4 linked regions of the Mus musculus genome follow. The protein of the gene in region 1 interacts with the protein of each later gene in a biochemical or structural test. Links are inferred from orthologs where the notes say so. Each region holds a gene or a part of one and is shown in the gene's direction. Other genes may lie near its edges.

Region 1 (5,217 bases):
GGAGAACACATGCTTCTGTCACACATCATAGGACCTAACCAGTTAGTAGTTTGGTTTTCTCATCTTTTGAGATTTATGGTGGTTTTCAACAGGATGTGAAAAATAATGTAATAATAGAGAGCATAGAACAGTTCTGATTCTGTGTCAGAATATACTTACTACTCATTTTTAGTTGTGTTTTACTTCTTATACTGTTTAGTGACATGTAAATCCTACACAAGCTAGAAGCTAAAGATGGGTTAGAAACAATCTTAAGTAAACATTTTGCTTATTTCCTCTGCTACAATTTCGAGATTCCGTTATGAAGGTGGCATTTCAGGGGATAGAAATCCAGACCTCTCAAATGCTGAGAATGATGGAAGTCCAGATATAAAGTCTGAAACATCCCCAGTGAAGACTGTGTTAGGGATTTTAGAACTCCCCACAGTCATGCTTCTAGACCCATACCCTTCCATGTTGCTCCTGGGTCCTGATGATGACTCAGGCAGCATATTCAGAAGAAGATATATGGGGACTTAGCAGTAAGCCTTGCATAACTGTACTTCTGCCATTCACTGGTTTTCAGGTGTTGTCTGAGGTCTGTGGACAGGATATCACCACCAAGCACATGCTGCCCACAGTTCTTCGTATGGCAGGGGACCCAGTTGCCAATGTCCGCTTCAATGTGGCCAAGTCACTCCAGAAGATAGGACCCATTCTTGATAACAGGTGAGGTCTGGGGGTTCTAAACATCTTAGATATTTAAAGACAGAACTCAGGGTCTGATTTCTTTATGCGTTGTGACCCATGCCTGTTCTTTCCTCTCCACAAAGTCTATCTTCTCTGTTTTAGAATAAGAATTCATTTCTCTAGAGTACAATGAAAAAAGAAAGGCAGAGGCAGGTGGATTTCTGAGTTCGAGGCCAGCCTGGTCTACAGAATGAGTTCCAGGACAGCCAGAGCTATAGAGAGAAACCTTGTCTCAAAAAACAAGAAGAAAAAAAAAATACATGTAATGAAATATACTTAACATTTCTAGGGAAACTATTAAGCACTGCCACAGGAAGCTTTGGTAAACATATAGTCTTCATTCCCTGTACTTATATTTGAGGCCATTATATATCAGCAGAGTTTTAGTAGGAACTGGCCTGGGAATGCAGAGTGCTTGGCTAGCCCATACATCCTAAAGAACAAAACTATGCACCTCAAGTCTACCTGACACATAATTTAGAAACAGCATGGGGCAGGGACAGGATATTCATGTCTCACTAGAATATTTTCTAGAGCACTCTGGTACCATTGTAGTTTGATGGCTAAGTGTCTGTCTTCTAAAACTGACTGGATCAGTTGGTTGCCCACATAAACCCAAACAGAATTTCTGCCTCTACATAAACAAATTAGTTTTTGAGCTAGAACCAGCATGATGAATAAAACATGTAGAAAATATAGAATGTCTTCATGTCTTGAGTTGGACATAAACCTGCTAAGATGCCAAAAGAAGTGATTGATAAGATGGCCCTCAAGAAAATGAAAAGCTGTGTATCAGAAGGCTAACCTGACAGTGTGGAGATGTTTCTATATAAAGAACTCCTCTAGTATCCTATATATAGGAAGATAAAGAATTCCCATGATACACATGGGAAGAAGACATAGAGGAAAGTATGGCATATGACATTCAAGTGGGAGTATGGGAAGATGAGAGCTACAAGTAGGGTTGAGAGAGGGGAGGAAGGAAGGTAGTCAAAATTAATATATGTGAAAATATGAGAATGAGGTAACTTGTGCTTTTGTTTCAGTTTAAAAGTACTGTCTTCACATGCTCAGTGAGGACATCGACTAGGTGCTCTGCAGTGTACGCTGTTAACATAGCACAGGTTACAGCTGAAATACTCGGCTGAACATCGTGCTATGGGAATTGTAGTGCAGATAGGATGAGCATTTTAACTGGAAGGATCCAGCTAGCTAGATGTAGACCCTAATCCAGCCCTTGCTTTTAGACAGTACTCAGTGTTGCTACCCCCTCAACCCCTTGAAAATGTGGTGGGCTTATATATTATAATCATAAGAAAGAATAATCCAAATGCTGGTACAGAGTATGAGTTAAAATAGTTAATATGGGTCTGGAGAGATAATGGTTCAGGGGTTAAGAGCACTAGCTTCTCTTGAGAGGGCCTGGACTTATCTCACATCATGTGTACTTAAGATCACTCATGCTTTTAATTCTAGTTCCCATCTCGGGCTTCTGAAGACATACAGATGGTGTCCATTCACATGCACATGTGCCTGGGCGCACACACACAAACACACACACACACACACACAGCAGGGAAGAGGAATGCAAAGAGTGCGGGGTGGGGGGGGTTGGGGGGCAGAAAGAATATTCGAGGGAAAAAGTCAAAATGCTAGGCACAGTGGTAGGCAGCTGCTGAATTCCCAGCACACTCTGGTGGTTGATGCTTGAGGGTCGAGTTGTAGACCAGGATGGGATATGTAGCTTGAGATAACATAAAGTTATATAGAAAGACCTGCTTCCCAAAAAGTAACAAAGCAAGCAAGCAAATAACAACAAAAGCATAACTCTAGGAGGTAGAAATGAAGACAGTGGTTATATGGAGGATAGAGGAGCGGTCTGCCAACATTTGATGCCTGTGTGTCTCATAGTTGCTCCACAGCCTTTCTCTCCAAGGTCTGTCTTCCTTCCTTACAGGATAGGCATATTCCTCCATGTCTCCTTACATAAAGAGTATATGCCACTTCTAGGCCCCTTAAAACCAAGAAGCCTTTGATCATCTTGCCACTTACTGGCCTTGTCTTGTAGTCTTGGCTTATCTGAGCAAGAATCTAGAGTGATATATTTTTGTATTCATACTAAGTATACAATACCTCAGTGAACATGGATTCAGTCACTAAAGGAATCTTTTTGCTCAGCTTCAAGGCCTGTGGGCTCTACTTTGTCAGACTTGCTCATGTCCTGTGCTAACCCAAGAGCTTTCCCTGCTTAACTATTTGATTACAAGCCTAGAGATCAGGAATTTTCCATGTGTATGCTTTGTGTGTTCATGTTCTATACTCTGCCTTATGATTTGGTGTGTTCCTGTCTTGATACTTACCTTCACCGGAGCCCTCTTTCTACCTGTGGGCACAACTCCTCCACCCCACCCACCCCCGAACACACACACACACACACACACACACATCCATCCATCCAAGGCAAGACTATCTCACTATCTTCTTTTCCCTTCACTTTCCAGCACCCTGCAGAGTGAAGTCAAGCCCATCCTGGAGAAGCTGACCCAGGACCAGGATGTGGATGTCAAGTACTTTGCCCAGGAGGCTCTGACTGGTAAGGGCCTGAGAGTGTAGAGCCTCTGGCAGAAGGGTGAGGGCTCCGGGGAATGGGGCAGCACTCAGAAATGTGGTTGGAGAATGTGGTGTGGTTCTGAGGCGTATTGTTCTTGTTTCCCCAGTTCTCTCTCTTGCCTGATGCTGGAAGAAGAAGCATTGCCGGCCTCTGGTGTCCACCCTCCAACCCCCACAAAGTTACCTCCCTTAGGGAGGTGGTGGGGGCAAATGACTGTCACTCCCTGTGCATGGTCTGACCCCAGGCTCCTCCCCCAGCACGGTTCGGTTCCTCCTCTGTAGCCTGGGAAGACTTCTCTGTCCACCTCCCAAGGGGCTGGAGCAGTACAAGTTGTTGCAGGACAGCAGCCTGAAAAGAAGGGCTGGTTGTTCCTGCCCATATTGGGAGAGATGGGAGCATCCTAGGTCACTGGCTTTTGCTGCTGTAATGGGGACCCCTCCCCCATCTACTTACCACCACCCTTTCCCAACCCCAACCATGTTTTTTGTGTGTCAATTGTGCCATTTTTATTTTATTCCTTTCCCTACTGTACACGGAGAAATAAAGGTGTAGAAATACTTGGTTCTCTAGTCTTAGTAATCGGAATGGAGGAAAGCCCACTGCCTTGTGGCTTGTTCTTTGCTTTCTCTGAGGAGACCTTCCTGCAGATGTCACTCCTGCTATCACAAGAGCGTGCACTTGGGATCCAGCAGGAGGGCAGCAGGAGACACAGCAGTATCCAGAGACTGCTCAGGGCAATGTCCTGTGATGCAGTTCAGGTTTTCAGGCACTGGCAGAGCAGAGTTCTCAGATTTGGACCGCATAACTGAGATAGCACCTGTGAGTGTGTGTGGAGCTCCCCATTTCCTGTGCCGTCACTTTGGGTGGTGAATCCATATGTAGCTCTGCAGGCCAAGCCTGCCTACCAGGAGATTTGGTTAGGGCCCTGTGAAAAGTCTCCGCACACACCTACACCAGTGCTTTGTAGGAAGTCTTTATGAAGATAGAACCAGCCAGGCACCACCATGTTCTCTCTCCATAGATTTTTCCAACCAAAATCAGAAATCCTGTTTAAAAAATTTCTTAGAAGAGCTGTTTTTGTTTCCCAGAGAATCTCCAGACAGACAGCTCAGCTCTTAGTATAAAAAAAGTTCTGGAGGGCAGAGGCAGGCGGATTTCTGAGTTCGAGGCCAGCCTGATCTACAAAGTGAGTTCCAGGACAGCCAGGGCTATACAATCTGCTAGCTCATCATGCAGACCAAAAGCCCATTATTTTAAATTTCCATATCAACTCAGTTATTTATTCCAGGTTCTTTCTTGAACATACCACGAATCAGCATTCCATGACCGTAGTCCCTTGGCTTTTAAGCAAAGGACAGCAAGTATATATTTATTTTTTTCTCCTTTTTTGCAAAAGAATTCAGAGATCTGCCTGTCTTTGTAAATTTAGCTGGGTGAAACCTTATCCTGAGATTATCATTTCCACCATGACTAGACCTAAATTTAGATTGGCTCTGTCCCAGGCTGACCCTGACCTCAGGAATCTGCCTGCATTTTTAAGTATAAACAACAAGAAAATACTTAGCTGGGTGGGATCTTTCCTTTTGATTACCACTCCCTAAATCTCTGTTTCCTTCCTTGGTATCCTTCTGACAGGTTGGCTCATAGTGCAGCTACCTCTGTTCCTTTATACCTGAGAAACCCTTTATACAATTTATATTGCTTCCTTATATTTTTGCATAGTTGAGAAATTACATATTTTCAAACTCAAGTTTCTTGAGTTCCATAGCCGTAAGGACTGTGTCCCAAAGGTCCCCATGTTTACCATTTTGCTGAGACATTAGCTACACCTTTGCCTGCTGGACTCAGGCTGTCTTTGATTATCATGGAGTCATTAA
Region 2 (4,765 bases), on another chromosome or scaffold:
GAAAAACCAAAAAAAAAAAAAAAAAAAGAAAGAAATTGTGCTTGTATTACTATGTTTCCTGGCTATCATTAGTAACTTTTTATTCCCATCTATCTTCATGATAACAAGTATCATATTATATATTACATCTTTTTTATCAAGGGGTTCTCTGTTCCCAGCATAGTAAGTTTTGCGGCATACATAAGACATTATACAGGCCAGGCGTGGTGGTGCACGCCTTTAATCCCAGCACTCGGGAGGCAGAGGCAGGCGGATTTCTGAGTTCGAGGCGAGCCTGGTCTACAGAGTGAGTTCCAGTACTGACAGGGCTACCCAGTGTTCTTGAAGGTGTAACAGATACTCTTCGGCTTGCAAGTCAGAATATAATTTAATTATAACAGTCCATATTTTTCCAGCCGTGAGTTTGGATGCTGCAATAATTGTAGTGACAATACGTTGCCTATACTTGCTAACTTGTAAATGTATAAGTTGTTAAATTTCAATTAAAATTGTTCAAGTAACAGTCTTTATTAGCCTTAAAGAACAAATTCATTTAGAAAGATAATAGTAATAGTATTGGTGGTAGATCTAATTTTAAAATTTGGTTCATACATTGGTAGAACTTTTATGTATTTCTTATACAATCAGCACTCCCCAAACTCATCAGCCTTTACTGTTTTTGAAATATTTATAAGAAACAAAACAGCCAGCCTACACACACCATTGTGACAGGTTATCATTTATTAAATGTTATTACTGGAAGACACCTCAGAAATCAAGTAGAGAAAACAAATGGTACACAGGGTCCTGGAAGGAAGTGACAGGCTTAGGTCCTTCATAGTGTTCAGTATATTGGGACCTAGGAAACCAGATGTAAATATCGTGTGTGCAGTGTGTGGGGACAAGCACGTGGGGCTGGAAGCAGCTGTCGTAACTCGGTTGATCTGCACATTGCTTTTTATGTTTTTTTTGAGTCAGGGTTTCTCTGTGTAGCCCTGGCTGTCCTGGAACTCACTCTGTAGACCAGGCTGGCCTCGAACTAGAAATCTGCCTGCCTCTGCCTCCTGAGTGCTGGGATTAAAGGCGTGCGCCACCACTCTCGGCTGCACATTGCTTTTTGAGACAGGGTTTCTCACTGAACCTGGAGCTTACGATTCAGGTAGCAGGCCTGGTCAGAGACGGCCTTGTGTCTCCACTGAGCTTCCATGCAGTGCTGTCAAGCCTGGCTTTTTACATCGGTGCTGGGGCTCAGTTGCCTATATGGCAAGATCTTGACTGGCTGGGCCATCTAGCATCAGATCTGCTTTGTTGTGGCAGTGGTGGTTTGGGGGATTTTTATATATATTTGTTTATGGGGGAGGGAGGGAGGTTGGCCTACATCAGAGTGAAGTTGTCAGGCTTCACAGCATCTGCTGAGCCTTTAAGAAACATGGAGCTTGGGGGGGTGGAAAACCTCAAAATCCTCATCGATGGACATGATGTACCTGCCTGTAATCCCAGCACTCAGGATTATAGAGCTTCTGTCTCCAAAATCAAAATATAAAATAAAACTGAAGCCTTATGCTTAATGTGTAAGTTCAATAGTCAACCAAATATAGCAAGCACAAAAAGATAAAACCAATTGGGGCGGGGGGGGGGTGTGTCTATATCTGTGATTTAAACTTCAGTGCTAATTTTTTTTAGAAAATCCATTAACTGTCTCCTTTATTTAGGGACCCATTACAAACTTGAGCAGAGCCAGGAGAAAAGGCTGATATGGTCATACAGATCTATTCAGGAGAAAAGACTGCTAGGGTCATATAGATCCATTCAGGAGCTTTGGGCAGAATTGTTGATTCCTAAGCTAGCCTGGGCTGTATACACCATTGACCCTGTCAGTGAACAAATATGAAACTGTTCACTAAAATATTCATTATTCTCTTTGATTCATAGTATAGTCCTTGAATAATCAGAGGATAGTCCTAAGAAAAAAATTTTAAATGCTTATATTATCCCACTTTCTGCCAGAAGTCCTGTAGATACACTCTATAGTAAAGGGAACTAAAGACAACTGGGAGGTGGCCGGGGGCGACCAACATTTTTTTCCTAATTTGTAAACACATAAAGTAGCTGTTTTGCAAGCATGAAGGCTGGTGTTTATATACCTAGCAGCCATGGAGGGCACAGCGCCCACCTGTGACCCCTCTCTCGATGATGGGATGATATGGTTAGCTGTCTAACCACAGCAGCAGGCTCTGGTGAGTCAGGTGGAGTGATCCGAGGCAAACAGTACCAACCTTAGGCCTGCACATACATGTGCACCCACTAACATGTAGACCTGCAAATTACATGCACTTAGCAGGTGTGCAGGAGAGGTGACTCGGTAAGTAAAGTGTAAGGAGAGAGAGAACCCCAAAAGCTGCCCCAATCTCTGTTAGGTGGGCTCTACACATCATACAGTGAGAAATAAGTGTGTAAAGGAATTACAGGTGATACACTATATAGGGAAAGTATATGTAATAGTGGTTATGTGCTCAGTAAATCTATATTGTAATCTATAATGGGAATCAGAAGGATGTTAATGTTGGGAAAGAAACCAGGTGTGTGACCGCAAACACAGTGACGGGTGGTGAGCGAGCGCCCTGTGCAGCAGACGCACTGTGCAGACACCACAGTGCGGCTCAGACTAGAGCGTGTGGAAGGCCCTCCCATCCCCAGGACCGCAGCCGGGGAAGAGAAGAACCCTGAGCACGGGAACTGCTGTGGAGGTTATTGCTGGTGATTGGACTCTGCTTTGCATTGTAGTTCACAGATCTTTCAGCTAATGATACCATTTGGAAAAAGAAAAAGCTGTCATGACTAACCTTTGCAACCGCTACTTAACTGTTCATTAATTTAGCAATTATAAAAACAAAACCATTTTCTTCTCAATTGAAAAACAGATATTCTGCCTCCACGGTGGCCTGTCTCCATCCATAGATACACTGGACCACATAAGAGCCCTGGATCGCTTGCAAGAAGTTCCACATGAGGTGATTTTCGAAGTTACTTCATTTATTTTGATTTTAAGGGAGAAAAAAGTGTAATCACATATGGGAAGGGTAACTCAATTAAGTATCCTAACTCACAGTGCACACATATTCTTTCTCCTTATCCAGGGCCCAATGTGTGATCTCTTATGGTCAGATCCGGATGACCGTGGCGGCTGGGGCATTTCTCCACGTGGTGCTGGCTACACATTTGGACAAGACATTTCTGAAACATTTAACCATGCCAACGGTCTCACACTGGTGTCTCGTGCTCACCAGCTTGTAATGGAAGTATGTACTTTTCCTGCTCTCGTGGTGTACGCATGCACCCGTCATAAGGCTTCATAATACCTTCAGTAGGGGCTGGAGAGATGGCTCAGCAGTTAAGAGCACATTGCTCTTCCAGAAGGCGCTCAGTAGAGACTTGAGCTCAGTGAGATGATGACTCCATGCTGCTTAGAGGAGCACACTGAGGAGTGTGCTTGCTGTGTGTGTCCTTGCTACATTTCACCAAGGAGGTTTGAAAGCTGTTTGTCCACTGCTGGTTCTATTCCGTGACCACTCAGTTGAGGTAGCAATTGCTGGATTTCTCCTGTTGTGTTAGTGTTGTCACTACGAAAGGAATAAACGAGAACGGAGTCCCTCTAACCAGCAAGTAGTGGCTTTAAGAAGGTAGAACAAACTTCACCAGCCTAGAGCAGGCGAGGAGTGGGGTAGGGGCAGGATGCAAAGCACATACACGAAGTGACATTAAACTTCATTATACTGGCAAGCACAGATGTCAGTGATGATAATATTTTTGGAGAAAAAATTTGACTAAGCTTTAACATTCCTAAAAGTCCTGAGACTCCAAAATTAGAAAATAATCAAATTTCAGCTATTTGAGGCAAAACTGAAACATTTAACATAACAAAGATGAGAATGGTGTGCTATGTGTCAAGTAAACACCACCCAACATCACGAGTGATGGAAGGCAGAGGCTCTGACACAGGTGACAATGTGATTGTCAAGATGGCTGGTTAGCATGGGCTCAGCTCTCTGGGAGAGCATATTCTAAGTTGGTATTTGCCTAATACGAGTTTCAAGCAAACTTAGTAGCAAACTTTAGAAGCCAGGCTCATTTCTATCATGTCTCAGCACTTGGGAGGCTGGGGCAATTGCAAGTTTGAGAACAGGGTAGTCTAAATAGCAAAATTCTTTCTCAAAATAAAATAAAATACTTAGCAAAGTTTATGAAGGAAAATGGGGAAGTTACTATGGTTTTCTGAGAAATTCAGTGTATATTCTAAGTTAAAATCTTAAGTGTAGGTTAAGAAAAGCTGTATGGTTACTGAGGTATATAATAGAATCTTGTACCTAATAAATGTTTAAAAGTCTGAACAGTTGCATAAACTTAGATTATAAAAGGTAACATAGCCACCGAAGTATTTGTGACTTGATCTGTCAAAATTGGATTTTATAATGAAACAATGACCTTTTTAATGTTGCAGGGATATAACTGGTGCCATGATCGGAATGTGGTCACCATTTTTAGTGCGCCCAATTACTGCTACCGTTGTGGGAACCAGGCTGCTATCATGGAATTAGATGACACTTTAAAATATTCATTGTAAGTAACTTTACATTTTAATTGTATGTAATGACTTTTAGAGGAAAATAGCCTTGGGAGCTGGAGAGGTGGCTCAGCAGCTCAGAGCACTTAACTACAGTCTAGTATGACTTCCATAGATACCTGCACACATGTGTGCATACACTCATACACACATGCATGTATGAAA
Region 3 (4,765 bases), on another chromosome or scaffold:
CTGCCTGCCTGCCTGCCTGCCTGCCTGCCTGCCTGCCTGCCTGCCTGCCTGCCTGCCTGCCTGCCTATCTATCTATCTATCTATCTATCTATCTATCTATCTATCTATCTATCTATCTATCTATCTATCTATCTATCTATCTATCTATCTATATCTACTCTGTCACTTTGTAACAGGAAAGGGAGATCTATTTACTCTGTTTTGTGTGCCTGGTTTGTTGAAACATTGCTCTTGAGTACTTAGCAGCTCTGGTAGGTACCTGCCTATTCTGTAGGATGGAGCCAGTACATGAGCTGAGGGGTTTAGGAGCTGGCACCTCAGCAGCTGTGTTCTTTGTTTGCTAGAACGTGGGACTTTAGGTTTCAGGACCCTTTGTCCAGTGTCTGAACTCAGTTCACTCACTTTGGCTGATGCAGGAAGAAGAATCCCTCTGGTCCTTTAGAGTTAGCAGTGGCTTGAGACATCTGTGAGGCAGGGTTTCTCTTTAAGGGCCATAAGGGCTGTATGCCCTTGTGGAGGGTCAATAATCCTTCCTGAGCGGGTTTTCAAATGTCTTGAACACGTGTGCCTAATCACTCCTGACAAGTCTGTCTACTAACAGTTTATTACTCTGTCCCCTTGATTGATAGGAGTCAATCACCATATGGCCCGTTCAGATTACGGCTTTGTGTTTCTCCTAATGGACTTCATGCTCTCTCACCAGGAAGAGGAAGAACAGGAGGAAGAAGATGATGATGAAGATGATGATGATACTGATGATTTAGATGAACTAGACACTGACCAGTTGCTGGAGGCAGAACTGGAGGAGGATGACAACAATGAGAATGCAGGAGAGGATGGAGACAATGACTTCTCTCCCTCTGATGAGGAGCTAGCAAACCTTCTAGAGGAGGGAGAGGAGGGGGAAGATGAAGACTCTGATGCAGATGAGGAGGTGGAGCTGATCCTGGGGGACAGTAAGTACAGGGCAGAGTCTGGGCGAGCCGCTGCACCCAGGCCAGGTCCTTCTGCTGTCCCAACCCATTCCAGAAGACAGCTGGGCTTGAGTTCTGCTGCCTCTCCACTCTGGCCCCTGAGGAAAAGCCCTGAGACATTAGTCAGCCTCTTCTCCCGTCAGACTCTATAGCCATCAGGTGGCTCCTCCTCTTAACTCATAAGCGAAGGTTTGCACACTTTTCTGTCAGAACAAAGGCAGTGCTTCTTTGCTTCCTGGGTCGTGTGGGCCCTGTCACAGCCTCAGATCCCCTGTAGTGAGGAGAAGGCAGTCACAGGCCAAACATGAAGTGATATTTAGAGCTGTGTTGCAATAAAACTTATTTACAAAATAGGTAGTGAGCTTATAGTTTTTGAATTCCAGCTTTAAAGTATTGGACTTAGAAAGGTGGAAGCATGGCTGTCACCTGAGGGTCTGGCTGAGGTCAGTTTGAAGCAGCTCTTCACAGGCTCCTTTGCCTCCGTGGCCGCTGTGTATAGATTAAGGGCCTTGTGTGGGAGAGCCTCTCCTGGCTGCTTTTGACCAGTCTCTCCTGAAGGTTGAGGAACCAATGCATCTGTCTTGTTCATTTCACCCTACCCCACTTCTTGTTCAGAACTCTAAAGAACAAACTCCAGTTTGTATAGTAATTTCCCACTGGTGGGTTTCTGAAGCCATTCCTATCATTGTTATGAATTCCCAAATAATCAGCTTTAAGACTGGGCAAACATTGTACTCTTGACATGTCTCTGTTGCCACGAGCGTGCCACTGTTGGCAGTTCTGGCTGCGGTCCTGAGTCTTATACTGATCGCTGCCCTGCCTGAGTGAAGAGTGATTCCTGTCTCACTTAGCTGGTATATATATATATATATATACCCAGCGTCCTTACAGGCATGGTAGGTGCTGTGTCTGATAATAGCAGCCACGTAGCACGGAGGGCTGTTGAAATATAATTAAATTAAAAATTAGCTTTTCATTTCCAATTGCTCTGTAGCATATGTTGCTATCGTGCTGAGCAGTAAGAACACATACATTTATATCATTTTATATCATGGCAAAGTTGTATTTTGGTGGCCTAGGTCAAGCAAACTTAATGGTGCTCTATCAGCCAGCCTCCTGTTTATGATCATGCTTCCTGGTAGGAGAGGTGGGTGGCAGTGTGCTTAATATAGAAACTTCTATTACATGTACTGTGCGCACACAATACTGCTCCTCTACCTGATGTAAGTTCATTTTCTTTCGGACAAATATCACTATGTGCTTATCGAGTTGGGACTGACAGTTGATTAAGTCCTCTTATCATATTTGAAGAAGGTCTTGGTGAGAGTGGGGTTGCTTATACCCACCTAGCTGTGGTGTATCATATTCAAAGGTTGAGATGATTCTGTGGGTTAACCCCTGGCCATGACCTCTGAGAGCTAGATAAGGACCCAGGGACATTTTAAATAAAACTTTAATAGTGAGGTGTTAGAGACAAAATTTTACCTCCCTTCAACAGGTTAGTAATGCAGGTTAGTTAGGTGGGCTCAGTCTACAGCAGGTGGCTGGAGCCACCTGCACTTGTAGGAGTGTCACTTGAGTTGCTTTTTTTGTTTTGAAATTAAAAATACTTTACCAAAACCCAAGATTTAAAGAAGTTTCCAGATAGACAAGACTAGTCAAAAGCTCCTTTTGAAGGAGAGACCCAACAAAGTTAGAGTATAACAGGGTGGCAGTACTGTCATTGGGTGTTCCATTTTGGTTTGGTTGGGCCTTTTCCTCCCCAAGCCTACTTAGAGTGAGAAGTGGCTAGACAGAGTTCAGAAGACCCGAGCTCATGCTTTTAACCAGTACAGTGAGGTCTCCATGAAAAGGGGAGGGGGTAATCTAGACAATGAAAATAAAACTACTTCCCCATCAAAGATAAAAGAGAGAAACCTTCCTTCCCCCTACTCTAACCCTGACAACTGCCTTCATTCACAGGGCTGTGTACTTATTCCATGATGGGGCAGTGAATGAGAGCAGAGAGCCGCTCGCTACCAGTGACGGTGTCCCAACAATCCAGATGACACTTCCAGCTTCTGCTCATGCCTTACAACAGTAAATGAGACATAGATGTGCTAATGTGCATTTAATCACCAGAGGAGCGAAGATATCTGGGCTTTTTTATTCTGTAATGTTTCTAAGCCTGTACCCATTAAATACAAAGAAAAATGGAAGGAGTCTTGGCAGAACAGCAGGGACACACCCACATGGTCATGAGAGGGGGTTGAACTGTTGTTACTCACGGCAAGGAGCCTGATCCGTGCTCCAACTTTTTCTAGGGCTTGGACTTGGCTCTTTTCATAGCACATTCCTAGTGCTGGGGACTACTTGCCTTCCACATACTTTAGCTAATCCTAGGTTGCTTGCATTGGGATGATACATTTTGGTCATGAAACATATTTCTAAGTTCTACATTGGGTCTTACTGTGGCAGACAGTTGACATGTAAGCGCCTCTTTGAGGGGGACTCCTGGGCAGCAGTGGCCATATGGTTCATTGCCCTCAGCTATTTATGACACAGGTGACCAACAAGGGCTCGGCCAACAGTGCTTGGATTTGCTCCATTATACAGGGCAGCGTGGTCCTCTCAGATCCTGAGTTTGCCCTGGCTGCCTAACATATTTTGCTTCATGACCCAGGTTGGCCTCAAGTTCCCCAACCCTTCTGTCTTCACTTTCTGAGTGCTAGGATTACAGGCATGTGCCACCACACCCAGCTTCAGGTTTTCCATTCCTAATTTGAATATAAACCCTCTCAATTTGTATTTGGTAACAGTATACCCTCTTTTCAGAATTTTGCTTAAATTCTAAAAATTAACTCTCTTAAAGCAAAGGTAATTTGGAAAACTCTTTTAAGTTACAAGAATATTGTTACTATAACCTGGGTGTAAACACTGACATAAAATACATGACATTTGAACATTTCTGCTTGCACTCTGAGGTGGAGACACAGCTGTCACCTACAGGTTGTCTTTTAGTGCTCTTCCCTGTGTTTTCTGGTCTGTCCTTTGTGGATGTTGCTATCCCTCATGACTGTCAGTGGAGCAGACTGATTGTACTGACCCCTCATTTACAAGTGTTATTACAAGCGTCACTCTGCTTGTCTGGAGGAACCCAACCTTCCTCAACTTATGGAGCCTTTCTGTGGTCTGGTGAAATTCATAGAACCATAGCTGTGGGTCACCATGTGACTTTGCACAGTTCCTGAGTCATGCAGGGTATAGCTTCAGATACAAACCTGTCCTTGAAAGAGAGGCATATTGTCTTCAGGGGTCTTTTCGTCTATGCTTCTGGGGACCCCTTGCTCTTAAGCCTGGATATTGTAGGGCAACAGCAGCTCAAAACCCTGGGATTATTATAGTTCATTTGCCTTTGCTGCAAAGACTTTTTAGAATAGGAGGTCCTGACCACAAGTTAGGGTCACTGCAGCATTTGGAGCTGAGAAAAGGCTAGGGCAGGTAGATAAAAGGAGCCCTGTCATCTGACCCATGGCTGCGGTGTGAGGAAGGTCGCAGTGGTGTTTGATAAGCGGTGTTCCGTCCTTAGATGTGAAGTCTTGGCTTTTTTTTTTTTTTTTTTTTTTTTTTTTGCTGTTGGGCAAAGGGTTGAAGCCCCTGTCTATTCTGGGGTATGTGTGTCTCAGGCAGGTGGGCCTGGCATTGTTGGCTCACCTGTAATGTTATCACTAGAGGGTCCTTCGGGGTCTGCAGAAGCACCTGGCAGGGCAGGTGCTGTGTGGCTCTGGGGAGTAGACAGTGCCTTCCTTCTT
Region 4 (5,221 bases), on another chromosome or scaffold:
GCCCCTGCTGAGTTCTAGGCCAGCCTGGGCTACGGTGATACCCAAGATGTGCCCTGATCCATCTTGGGGTGGCAGTGTCACTGTGCTTAGGCTTGCCCTGCTTCCATTCCAGGCCCTCAAGTACTCATTCCAGACCCACGACCGCCTCTGCTTTGTCATGGAGTATGCCAACGGGGGCGAGGTAGGGCCACAGGCAGCTTCAGACCTGGGCACTTGATGGGTGAACTTGTCCCTCTGAGAGCTTTGAACCCTCTCTGTAGTACAGATCACTGGTGCTGCCAGCCCTGGCCATGTGAGCCTGTAGCTGCTCGTTTGGGGATGTCTTATTTCTGCTGAGTTGGAGTCTCGCAGTCTCCAGTTCTCTTTGGGGGCTAGTTCCTAACCTTCCCTCTGCCTGTGGGTAAGGGTTGGCGGGCCCTCACACAGGCCTTCCTCAGCGCGCTCCACCCCACAGCTCTTCTTCCACCTGTCTCGAGAGCGTGTGTTCTCCGAGGACCGGGCCCGCTTCTATGGTGCGGAGATTGTGTCTGCCCTGGACTACTTGCACTCCGAGAAGAACGTGGTGTACCGGGACCTGAAGGTGTGCTTATGGAGCAGGGCGGGTGGGGGCTGGGGGGTCTGGCCTCACTGACTGAGCGCCTTCCCACACAGCTGGAGAACCTCATGCTGGACAAGGACGGGCACATCAAGATAACGGACTTCGGGCTGTGCAAGGAGGGGATCAAGGACGGTGCCACTATGAAGACATTCTGCGGAACGCCGGAGTACCTGGCCCCTGAGGTGCTCTGCCACTTCCTGTGTGTTCCCTTACATCCTCCCACGCCCCGACACAACGCTGACAGAGTCCCCCATCTAGGTGCTGGAGGACAACGACTACGGCCGTGCAGTGGACTGGTGGGGGCTGGGCGTGGTCATGTACGAGATGATGTGTGGCCGCCTGCCCTTCTACAACCAGGACCACGAGAAGCTGTTCGAGCTGATCCTCATGGAGGAGATCCGCTTCCCGCGCACACTCGGCCCTGAGGCCAAGTCCCTGCTCTCCGGGCTGCTCAAGAAGGACCCTACACAGAGGTAAGGGCTGCCGGGGCTTCAGGCTCAGCCTCTAGACAGTGCTGCTGCCCACTGTACCCGCCACAGTCTCAGTCACATGTCGGGTGGGGTGGTCAGGCAGCTAGGGGTATCCCTACCCTGCGAGTATCCCCGTGACCTGTCACCTTGCACGCAGTGTCTGAGCCCTGGACCTGTCTCCTACCCACAGGCTCGGTGGGGGCTCCGAGGATGCCAAGGAGATCATGCAGCACCGGTTCTTTGCCAACATCGTGTGGCAGGATGTGTATGAGAAGAAGGTGTGCATCTGGCCACTGTGCCCATCTCTGGATCACATACGTGTGTGCATACATATAAACACTCTCACTCTGGCCACTGTGCCCATCTCTGGATCACATGTGTGCACACATGCAAACACTCCTGTTTTTGCTGGCTCAGACACGCATGCTGGGCCCACAGCCTTGTGTAGTCACATGCCCCCACAGAGCCACAGGGTTGTGCACAGCCTTCTCGCTCGCACAGAAGAGGGTAGTATGCTGCCCTGCATACCTCGCACAGTCACCTGGCCTCTCCAGGCCCTCAATTGTGCCCCTGTTGCCTACACCTGTTGCTTGCTCCTGTCCTTTGCCTGGAGATCGCCTCATGTGCCCTATGATGAAAGCTAGCCGAGGGTGGGGGGTAATGTCTAGGTGTCTCCAACTCTAGGGCGAGCCTAATCCCATTCTGGGACGGCCCCTGCCCGTCTGGCACAGTGTAGGCCACTGCAGAGAGCAGAGCCCCTTGTACTCACCCCTAAGTGTGATTCTCTTCAGCTCCTAAGTACCCCTGGCCCAGGCTGATGAGGGACACAGCAGGTGGTCTCAACACTCTACCTTGATGTGTTGGGTGCCCTGTTACCCCCTGCCTTGAGTGTACCTTCTAGATAACACGGGGCCAGCAGCATGTGGGGGTGTGGATGGCATGCCTTTCCTGCCCACACTCAACTAGAGATCCCATGAAGTCCGCATTGCCCTCACACCAGATTTGGGAGGGATGGCAATTGAGGGTCCTTGCCTGTGAGACCCAAAAGGATGTTAGCAGCCTCCAGTGCATACACCACTCTGCAGCTTATCTTCTTCATGGGCTGTCAGTGAGGCAGGCGAGCTCACCTGAAGACTGCTTTGAGTCCTGCCACAGCTGTGGTGGTGCCACTGTGTGCCTTTAGTCCCAGCACCTGGGAGGCAGGAGCAGGTGGATCTCTGAGTTTGAGGCCAGCCTGGTTTACAGAGGTAGTTCCTAGGGCTACACAGAACCCCAGTTTCAAAAAATGGAAAGGGAAGAAAAAAAAAAAAACTCAGAAGGGAAATGACAACCAGAGAACGGAGTTCCCACTGCCTGGAGGTGGGCAGTCACTACCCTCTCGTCACTTTGGGCATCTCTGGGCTTGCTCTCCCCTGCCTACACTGCCCTACCCAGTTCCATCTCCTAGAGCTGTTCCCTAGTGCTAGTGCCCACCCGATAAGGTCAGTATTGCCCAGAGAGGATGGAGGGATTGGAACCCAGTAGTAACCAGGCCTTCTGTTGCTCCTCAGCTGAGCCCACCTTTCAAGCCCCAGGTCACCTCTGAGACTGACACCAGGTATTTCGATGAGGAGTTCACAGCTCAGATGATCACCATCACGCCGCCTGATCAAGGTGAGGCCACCCCACTCCATGGCCCCTCAGTGTCTGGCTTGCACTCCTGCTTTTTTTGGGGGGGAACTGGAGTTAACAGGTGGTTGTGAGTAGCCACGTGGGCACTGGAACTGAACCCGGGTCCTCTACCAGAGCAGCCAGTGCTCTTAACCACTAAGCTCTCTCTCAGCCCCAAAACTAAAAGAATCAAACAAACCCTTTGGAGGGTGGTAGCAGCTTGGCGGGGAGGGAGGGAGTGTTCTGAGGGCCAGAGTCACTGCCCCCTCACAGGGCCCCCTTGTATCCTCTGGCATGTGTCAGGTGGGCGGGCTGTTTCTAGAGATGGTCTGAGCCCTCCTGTGGCCCACAGATGACAGCATGGAGTGTGTGGACAGTGAGCGGAGGCCGCACTTCCCCCAGTTCTCCTACTCAGCCAGTGGCACAGCCTGAGGCCTGGGGCAGCGGCTGGCAGCTCCACGCTCCTCTGCATTGCCGAGTCCAGAAGCCCCGCATGGATCATCTGAACCTGATGTTTTGTTTCTCGGATGCGCTGGGGAGGAACCTTGCCAGCCTCCAGGACCAGGGGAGGATGTTTCTACTGTGGGCAGCAGCCTACCTCCCAGCCAGGTCAGGAGGAAAACTATCCTGGGGTTTTTCTTAATTTATTTCATCCAGTTTGAGACCACACATGTGGCCTCAGTGCCCAGAACAATTAGATTCATGTAGAAAACTATTAAGGACTGACGCGACCATGTGCAATGTGGGCTCATGGGTCTGGGTGGGTCCCGTCACTGCCCCCATTGGCCTGTCCACCCTGGCCGCCACCTGTCTCTAGGGTCCAGGGCCAAAGTCCAGCAAGAAGGCACCAGAAGCACCCCCCTGTGGTATGCTAACTGGCCCTCTCCCTCTGGGCGGGGAGAGGTCACAGCTGCTTCAGCCCTAGGGCTGGATGGGATGGCCAGGGCTCAAGTGAGGTTGACAGAGGAACAAGAATCCAGTTTGTTGCTGTGTCCCATGCTGTTCAGAGACATTTAGGGGATTTTAATCTTGGTGACAGGAGAGCCCCTGCCCTCCCGCACCCGCTCCCGCGTGGTGGCTCTTAGCGGGTACCCTGGGAGCGCCTGCCTCACGTGAGCCCTTCTCCTAGCACTTGTCCTTTTAGATGCTTTCCCTCTCCCGCTGTCCGTCACCCTGGCCTGTCCCCTCCCGGCCAGACGCTGGCCATTGCTGCACCATGTCGTTTTTTACAACATTCAGCTTCAGCATTTTTACTATTATAATAAGAAACTGTCCCTCCAAATTCAATAAAAATTGCTTTTCAAGCTTGTGGTTTGCTTTCTGGTGTGGAGCGTCACAGCCTTGTTAGTGGGTGGGAGGTGAAGGGGTGTGGCTGGGGTCACATCAGGGTGGGTCCTGGGAACTGGTCCCTGAGGCTCCAGGGGATGTCGTCCTCATGGCAGGACACTCCTGACAGAAGTGGGAGGATCTTGACTGTCTCTGGAGTCTACTCTTGCAGTGACCCTCCCTGGCCATCTAAGACACCTGCCAGCCCCAGCTGTCGTGTGTCTGGCAGAGCAATAAGCCAGGCCCTGATACCAGGAAGGATAATGCGCTGGCGATACAGTTCAAAAAGGCTCAGGAGGCTTTGGTTGAGGTGACATAGCACATCTGTGACTGAACAGAACTGGGGACTGTTCTGGGTCTGGACAGAGGTGACAGGAACCAAGGTCACTCTAGAGTGTCTGCGATCCTGAGTCCAAGCCGCCACCAAGATATACTGAGTATGTTGCTGGTGACACCTGGTGACTACTGGTGGAACTGCAGCAAGCAACAGCAACTGCTCAGCAAAACATTTAGAGGCCTCCAGCCAGATGGCCTCCCCTAAGGCATGGACTACACATATACAGAGCCTAGTGGCTGGTGGCCTTGCTGGGATGGTGTCTGACTCCTGCAAAGTTAGGGTGGGTGATGATCTGGACCTCTGGAAAATAAGAATATCCACTTCTATAACAGCCAAAGATTTTCTCTAGATGACCACAAGCCCTCTGGAACCGTACACAGCATTGCCTACTTTGGGTTTGTTTGTTTGTTTGTTTAGAGACAGGGTTTCTCTGAATAGCCCTGGCTGTCCTGGAACTCACTTTGTAGACCAGGCTGGCCTCGAACTCAGAAATCTGCCTGCCTCTGCCTCCCAAGTGCTAGGATTAAAGGCGTGCGCCACCACTGCCCAGCACTTACTGACTTTGAAGTAAGATTTATAGACAACACCGGCTGGGTAAACACCTTTAGTCCTAGCACTTGAGTTCAAGGCCAGCAAGGTCAATGTAGCAAGATCCAGTCAGGAGGGAAGAGAGGGAGGGAAGGAGGAAGGAAGGAAATAAGGACTGTAGTGCTTTCTGTGGCCCTCAGACTTAGCACTAAATCTTACCTAAAGTGGCTGAAACGTAGAAACAAACACAGCTAAAGCCAGGGCTGGGCCGGCTACAGGCTGCTCTTTCCACAAGACCCCTCAGGTATGTGT

What was found.
Region 2: the proteins of Ppp2r1a (region 1) and Ppp2cb form a complex in vitro, tested with the Homo sapiens proteins (2 studies listed by BioGRID and IntAct). The link is inferred for Mus musculus from reciprocal best matches to the Homo sapiens genes PPP2R1A and PPP2CB.
Region 3: of the proteins of Ppp2r1a (region 1) and Dcaf1, one has a biochemical effect on the other in vitro, tested with the Homo sapiens proteins (2 studies listed by BioGRID, with this or other methods). The link is inferred for Mus musculus from reciprocal best matches to the Homo sapiens genes PPP2R1A and DCAF1.
Region 4: the proteins of Ppp2r1a (region 1) and Akt1 form a complex in vitro, tested with the Homo sapiens proteins (2 studies listed by BioGRID and IntAct, with this or other methods). The link is inferred for Mus musculus from reciprocal best matches to the Homo sapiens genes PPP2R1A and AKT1.

What each region holds. Positions count from the first base shown.
Region 1 is NC_000083.6:20,962,009-20,967,225, forward strand, and holds the end of Ppp2r1a (serine/threonine-protein phosphatase 2A 65 kDa regulatory subunit A alpha isoform), read left to right. Parts: intron 1-565; coding exon 566-708; intron 709-3,230; coding exon 3,231-3,322; intron 3,323-3,446; coding exon 3,447-3,463; 3' UTR 3,464-3,897; downstream 3,898-5,217. UniProt on the Homo sapiens protein: The PR65 subunit of protein phosphatase 2A serves as a scaffolding molecule to coordinate the assembly of the catalytic subunit and a variable regulatory B subunit.
Region 2 is NC_000074.6:33,612,550-33,617,314, forward strand, and holds part of Ppp2cb (serine/threonine-protein phosphatase 2A catalytic subunit beta isoform), read left to right. Parts: intron 1-2,900; coding exon 2,901-2,990; intron 2,991-3,116; coding exon 3,117-3,278; intron 3,279-4,477; coding exon 4,478-4,596; intron 4,597-4,765.
Region 3 is NC_000075.6:106,873,353-106,878,117, forward strand, and holds part of Dcaf1 (DDB1- and CUL4-associated factor 1), read left to right. Parts: intron 1-703; coding exon 704-956; intron 957-2,936; exon of another isoform or gene 2,937-3,053; intron 3,054-4,765. UniProt on the Homo sapiens protein: Acts both as a substrate recognition component of E3 ubiquitin-protein ligase complexes and as an atypical serine/threonine-protein kinase, playing key roles in various processes such as cell cycle, telomerase regulation and histone modification.
Region 4 is NC_000078.6:112,652,627-112,657,847, reverse strand, and holds the end of Akt1 (RAC-alpha serine/threonine-protein kinase), read left to right. Parts: intron 1-112; coding exon 113-181; intron 182-454; coding exon 455-580; intron 581-651; coding exon 652-780; intron 781-856; coding exon 857-1,071; intron 1,072-1,258; coding exon 1,259-1,346; intron 1,347-2,618; coding exon 2,619-2,721; intron 2,722-3,070; coding exon 3,071-3,150; coding exon of another isoform or gene 3,151-3,224; 3' UTR 3,225-4,027; downstream 4,028-5,221. UniProt on the Homo sapiens protein: AKT1 is one of 3 closely related serine/threonine-protein kinases (AKT1, AKT2 and AKT3) called the AKT kinase, and which regulate many processes including metabolism, proliferation, cell survival, growth and angiogenesis.